Drosophila melanogaster: one gene and its partner. The protein of the gene in region 1 interacts with the protein of each later gene in a pairwise test. Each region holds a gene or a part of one and is shown on either strand. Other genes may lie near its edges.

Region 1 (3,600 bases):
GCCGCAGTGCATGAACAAGTAGTTTAGCAAATGAATACAAGAGCCACACAGGGTTTTTCCGCCACCGAGATCGGGACAATGGCAAAGGAATTTCTCTCTCTATACTGACGTGTAAAATATTGTCCCAAACCTGTCTATAAATCATCAAATGAATGGGGAACAATTACTATAATGTAGAGAACTAAGAGCTAAGCCTGCATATGAAAAAATATAAAACATTTTGGAAGAAGTCATAGTACTATATTTAAAATTTATTTGACTTTCCAAATTAGTCACCGCTTATATATTCGACGTTTGAGTACCTACTCAAAGCAGTCCCAATTATAATTACGCTCTCATATGTGAAAACATATGGCTATTTTTCGTACTTGAATAGAGTACTGATCAAAACACACTTTAAAAAAAAATAGAGAAAACATTCTTTACAATAAACTATACAAATAGTTTATACGATAAAGTTCTAGAGGGTCATTAAGAGTTTTGTATTACGGATAATTTAAACTTTTGATAATTTAAAATTACTTGTGATTTTTGCCGAACTGACTTGAACTACTGGACACGCACATTGTCATAGATCTTTACGACATCTATGTCTTGAAGAAGGTTTTTACGAAACTCCTGATAGCGGGCCATTTGACGATCATTTAACTCGACGAGCGGCTTGTTTGGACAGTGTCCAACCTCCTTATGTACAATCTTGTAGTTGCACTGCCTGAGTTTGTACGCGACCTCTTGCAGGTCCAGAGGCCGACATTTGAACAAAACAGATCCTTTGGCCAAATCGGTAATGGTACTATCGGTGGCTTTGCACCACAAAGCATCAATTCGCAACGTTTGATTGAATTCCTCAAAGCTTAATGGTGTTACGCTCGGCAATGTGGCCTCAATCAAGCCAGTTTCGTTGAATAAATGTCGATTGAAGAAGCGCGCTTTGTTTTGCCGCAGTAAGGAGGCCAAGCGAAGTTTCAGTTCGGGGAGATTATCCGTCCTGATCTTGCAAACCATGGCAACCAATTGCCGCCCATAGTCCATGGGTATACTATAGGTGTGATGATTCCTCTCGCTCAACTCGCACTCCTTCAGAATTCGCTGCACTCGACTGTACGGCAATTGCAAGGGCGACAGTCGAGCCCTCAGCTCGTAGTTCTTGTCGGGATCTATGGAACCTCCCCCACGATGCACCGCTAATCGAAGCTCGTTAGCCAGTATTAACTCATCTGTCGTATCATGATCAAACTGCGCCTTTTTGGAGCTTAGTGGAACGCTGGTAAAGCCGGTCTTACTCGGGCTCCTTTCCCCATACATCGGAGCCCATCGTACTCGCTTTACGCTCGGTATCTCTGGATTATCCAGAAGCTCCAAGTCCAGCCCATTACGCTTATCGTTCTCTAATTTCGGGGAATCACTACGGATTAGGTTCGGCTTTGGTCTGTAGGGAGTAACGCTGGACTTGAGCTGAGGAAGTTTCGTAGTCTTGGTCCTGTCCATGGGTTCTAAACAGCTGTTGTTATGCATTTGAAATGAACTTGAAATTTGGACTACTTAAAGTTATTGTTGAAAATGAATGGATTTGACTAATACAATAGAAATTTCGGAGAGCGTATGAGTGAAAAGTTTTTAAAAGGCACTAATATAAATTCACAATGTGATTTCAAGAAAAAATTAAACGAAATCGAAACAAGGGACAAACTTTTTTGAAAGGCACGGTAAAAAAAATTGATATTGTACATCAATATACATAAATGAAAAAGTAAGTATAATATGAACTCACCGTATCGGCGGCTGTTAAATTAATTCCCAGTCCTCCGGCTCTCGTAGACAGTAAGAACACGAAGATATCTGCTCTCGTTTGAAAATCGGCAACCATATCGCGACGAGCGGATATCTTGCTTGAGCCATCCAGGCGCATATAGCGATGCTTGCGGTGCCACATGTACTCCTAGACATTTTATCAAAAAATTAAACTGAACAGTGATCGTTTCAAGTTTAATAAACTTACCTCGAGCAGGTCTATCATCTTGGTCATCTGCGAGTATATGAGTACTCGATGTCCATTCGCCTTCAATCGAGTTAGCAAGTTGTCAAGAACAAAAAGCTTACCAGCATCGGTAATCAGGGTTTCCTTGTCGGGCACCACAATCGAGGACCATCCACCATGAGGCTTGCACAAGGCCAATCCACTGGAGACAAGCTCCCTGCCCTGGCTATTCTCACACTGATTGTGGCGAATCTGGGACCACGCTGCAGATCGACTATCGCAGCTAAAATTGATATAAAAAAAGTTAAAAACCTGGATCGGTTTCGATGAATCCATTTGAAACTTACTATAAATATCTATGCACAGCTTGAACTTTTTGTCCCAAATCGTAAAGTATTCGTGGCATGGAAAGCGGTTCGCATACGTATTTTCTTGGCTTTCGTGGGCGATGCGGAAACTCTGGTAGCAGCAGCAGCGTCGTCACCTTAACATCGCTTTTGGCATTCGACTTTGTTTGCACCTCCACAGACTCGATTTCCAGCTTTTGCTTGGACACATCCTCCATCTCCTCGATTAGCGACGTTTTCTTCTTCAGAATCTTTGACCGAATTACACGGTGTTCGATAGTTTCCTGCATATTGTACGTAAAGTAATCGCCAAATGCGTAAACGCTGCTTTCGTTGGCGGTCTTTAAGCATAAATCATTGTATAAATTGTTCGAATAAAAATTTATAAATATAAATAATTATACCATTGCTGTGAATATGAAGTTCTTAAGGACACTGTTTGGTGGCATATAGTCGAGAGCTAGTTTGTTTTCCAACATCGGCTCCAGCAGTTGATATCTACTGTCCGGCTGCTTTTTCCACCAAAAGCGACGGTAGGCCAGCAGTGGGTATTTCTCCAAAACTCTTCGATAATGCAAAAGACTGTAGAAAAACAAACGTAAGTATTGTAAGTATTTAACCATTTGTTATTATCAAACAAAGGAGCACGACATTTGCGAATTTTGCTATTATAAACATGTTACTTACAGGTAAAGGGTATAGGAATACTCACAAATCTATCAGTCCATTTAAAGTTACTTCTACCATATCTCCCACAGATAAATCGCAAAGCCGGGTAAATCCGAAGCAACTATTCACGTTCACATCCTCAAAGAGAGACCTCTGTATGTATTCCGATTTGAAGATATTGAACCTGCAAATGGGCAGTCAAGGATTAAAAATTCAAATATGATAAAATGTTCAAAACCTATCCACTTACCGGTTATAGAGCAAGTGCTTTCGACTGGGCAGCATTCTGTGTATGAGTCCTTCCTCATGAATCAATCTGGGAATGGTATACTCCGCACAGCGCATGAAAAACGGACTTCTTGCGTCCCTTCTTTCAAAAAGCTCAGGATGATTGCATACCTTGCGGAATTGCATGACCAGATTCATCAGGTTCGATGCCGAAGATGAGGACGAAGTAGTGGTTGATCCACTGGTCAGGTGAAGGAGATCCTCAATGCGGATCTTTTGCTTCAGCGCCCTGTATAGTAACTTTTGACGTATGGTCAGCGGACAATAGACCATAATCTCAATTTTATCCGACAGCTCGTTCTCCACATCCTTCTTTAT
Region 2 (3,705 bases), about 12 Mb from region 1:
TTTTTTGTTGTACATAGCTATATTTTGTTTAATACTCAAAGTCCGTAGTATAATTTTGTTCATTTCCTTGGCAACAAGTTGGAATCAAATGTATTGGCTAATTGTGCAATCTTCAAAACGTGTTGGTGGCTTCGGAGGAACGCGACAACGCTGTTCTGCGGCCCCACGAAATGTTGTAAACTTAATTAACTACTAAGGCCACTTAACTAGGATCTAGGTGTAGTCATAAGGCATTGGATCAATGTTCCAGCGTACAACAAAACGGACTTCCAGTGAAGAGACAACTGATATTTATACGGAATCCCAATCTGGTATTATGTATTATGATTTTTACAGTTTACTTAACGCAACAAATACGACTTAAGACTTGTGCGCTCAATGACTAGAAATTATAGTTGCGATTTTAGGATAACTATTCATGGAAAAACCACAAACGAGTTTTTAATAAAGAAAATTTTACTGATTAATTATTTTTAAAAGCGTTTGAAACATATTTCATTAATTCTGATAAAATCACAAATCGATACACTTAAAAACCCCCACAGCCAATCACAATAATTGAATAATGAACGTGTACATATTTTATTCCTTAAAGTTTTATTCGATTGGTGTAGCTTCATCCGTTTACTGATTATTTGCTCTTCGGTACCAGAAACGTGCCCGAAAGTCGTCGGAGCAGGTGAGGAAAGCAGGACCATTGGGCGAATGCGTAATATAGCGGACAGGTCCGTTGTGTCCAAGCGAGTTAAGGGTCAGGCGGCAGCCGTTACGGGAGTTCCACGAGCAAAGCGAAGTGGTGGCCTCGTCGGGGAAAAGCACGTAATCCTCTGTGTGGTTGAATACAGCCTCTGTCTGGTGCTCCTGCTTGCCGGTGGTTCCAGCGCCCGTGTACGTCTGAATGGGACGACTGGTACACAGCTCCCACAGATAAACCAGTGAATCCATACCGGAAGATAGGAGGTACTAAAATGAATAAGTTAAAATCTTGCACAGCCACTACCCATAGTGTCCCATTACCTTTCCATTCCGCGTAAACTCCAGTGAGCATATTGCCGCTCCGCCATGCGCCTCGGCAATGGTGTTGATGCACCGCCCGCTGATCCCATCCCATATTTTGATGTCACCATCATAGCTGCCTGTGGCGTAGAGTTTCCCCGTGGGCGAATATTTCACGCAAGTAACTCCAGCCTTGTGCTGCTGCGAGGGAATGGCACTCACGAAGCATTGGGTGGTGGCCACATCGTAGACCCGCAAGACGTTATGTTCCGTTCCGATGGCTACGTAGTCACCAGTAGGATGAAAAGACAGGCACAGCACCGGCTCGCAGTCGGTGAACACCTTGTGGGCCTTCTTTACCGAAGGCTTGGCAATGTCAAACAACTTAACAGTGCCATCGCGCGAGGCGGAGGCCAGGATGTGCTCCTTGGGATGGAACTCCAGGTAAGACACTTCATCAGTGTGATCATAGAGCGTGCGAATCACTGGATGGCCTTGTTGTTCCCTGCCCGGCTCGATATCTTCGGGCGCAGACTTCGCCAGCATCCGCTCCACGTCCAGAATCTTGATGCTGGCATCCACGCTCCCGGTGGCCACCAGGGAACCATCGCAACTGAAGGCGCCGGCGCGACAGGCCTGCTTGTGCGAGGTCACATACGCGGTTTCGTAGGAATGTGGTTCCGGGGCCAAGGCCGAAGCCTCCGGCTCGAATTCCAAGTCTATGCCGGGCAGCACATCATCCGAGTTGGTTTTGTCCTTGTCGCTCAGCGTCTGCATCCCTGCAATCATTACGTGCAGCAGGCGTTCACTGGGAGCGCACTGGTCCGCCTTCACCAGCATGGACAGCTCCATGGCGAACTTCTCCAGGCCGTCGTACATCAGCTGGCTGATCATCAGTCGGTAGAGTATCTCCCGGTTCTTCACTAGGTTACTGGGGTCCAAAATCTCATCACGCATGGTGGCTTAATTTATATTTTGTTTCCTACGGATATAAACAAAATCTTGTAGATAACGCCGTGCCGTTATCGTTATCGAAAACATTTATCTTGCCGGTATGTCATCTCTAGCTATGCGGTATTGAAATACTGAAATCAGGGTTTCGGTATTTTACGGTCCACGGTCACTCCTAACAGCTGCAACACGTGCGGTTTTAAAATTGTTTTGGTCCCCTCAATTGATTTTAAACATTGTTTGATTCATTAATTAAACCTCTCAACAATGAAGATCCGCAAGAATCATGCTCGCAAGCGTTATCGCTACAATGTAAACCGCAAGACGATGAATAAAACCCGGAGTTCCACCGGAAAAATTAAGGAGTAAGTTGGATCTTGGTGCACTTACAGCCAATAGAGTCAACAAGTTTACGAAAACCTTCTGTTATGATCTTACCAGTCCCAGGATGAAAAAGATGTGGATGGAGGACCAGCGTGTGGGCACCAACTTCAGTGAAATGGGGTTGGCCAAGGACGTCAACAAGGCCATTGCGATTCCCAGCTACAAGAAGGACCGCCTCCTAGCGGCCCGAGTTGTGAATGGGTTTCTGGAGGAGGAGCTGGACGAGGATGAGCGGCGTGTATTGGGCCTCAAGAAACCAGTCGTAGAGGAGGGTCCAAAACGTGGACACGTAGTCCAGGAACTAGAACAACTGGCTAGCGAGCGAGCCGACCCAGAGTTCAGGTAAAATATTGATTCTGCAATGGAAAACTGTCAAAATACAGGTTTTGTATTTGCACAGATTACCCAAGGGCGTGGTCAAGGAACTGTCCTACTTTCTTAACAAACATAAGTTTAACTACAAGGCGATGGTTGCCGATCGGAAAAACTTTGGCCAGTGGACGTGGCGGCAGTTCCGCTTGAAGATTCGCAGATTTATGTCGATTCCGGAGCAGTTTAACGTTTACCTGGAGCAGAAGAAGTTGCCCGTGGGCGTGAAACCGGACTGGGAGGAATACGAGTCGGACAGTGAATGGAAATAATGGCTCTTGACCAATGTACATTATAGTCGTTTTCGGGTTCTAATGCTATTAATTGTAATGTTTAGACTTACTTTAATTCTTTTAATACAATAAAATAGGCAAGTAAAGACGAACGCAAAAGGTCTACGTATTAAAGCATTACTGTTAATTACATTACATTACTATTAACAGTATTTTTTCAAATTCCTTTCTAACATTTTTGTTCTGTCAAATTTTCTATTGTTCTGTCGTACGACAGGACGAGAGAGAGAGAAAGGAAGGAGCTTGCGTCTTATTTCAACGCATAAGCGAATAGTGTGCACAATGTCTTTTGCAATTAGTGGTGAATGTGCATACTTTTAGTGACAGTCCGTGAAAGTACTATATTATTTTATCTGCAAAAGACTCAGTTTAAGAGAATATAAAATATTCCATGAATGGTAGTAAAATTGTATTACTATTTTTATTTTGGTACGTTTTATACTTAAGGGATGGAAACTTTATTTAAGTCAAGAAATCCGCATAATGCAATAGGAAACCCAAGGCCCTTGTCATACATGGAATCCTGTGCCATCTCTAGGTCGGAATCAGTTCAGCTCCGTTCACCTCAGCATCGTTGCTTTTTCGGTCTTTCCGTTTTGTGATTTCGAGGTAAGTGCACGCAGAGCTCCCGTTAAATTGTGAAAATATTAATAGGCATTGATTAGTTGTGGAAATGTAAAAAGGGAAAGTCCCAGAATTCCCTACCCTGCAT

Evidence for each region.
Region 2: the proteins of CG31244 (region 1) and CstF50 interact in a two-hybrid assay, tested with the Drosophila melanogaster proteins (one large-scale study listed by BioGRID).

What each region holds. Positions count from the first base shown.
Region 1 is NT_033777.3:19,396,968-19,400,567, forward strand, and holds CG31244 (uncharacterized protein), read right to left. Parts: upstream 1,601-3,600; 5' UTR 1,516-1,600; coding exon 550-1,515; 3' UTR 463-549; downstream 1-462. Other genes in the region: INO80 complex subunit, read right to left, coding at 1,772-1,939, 2,000-2,261, 2,326-2,666, 2,730-2,907, 3,038-3,178, 3,245-3,600.
Region 2 is NT_033777.3:31,734,928-31,738,632, forward strand, and holds CstF50 (cleavage stimulation factor 50 kD subunit), read right to left. Parts: upstream 2,037-3,705; 5' UTR 1,954-2,036; coding exon 1,018-1,953; intron 964-1,017; coding exon 625-963; 3' UTR 576-624; downstream 1-575. Other genes in the region: CG11563 (uncharacterized protein), read left to right, coding at 2,215-2,312, 2,389-2,673, 2,732-2,972.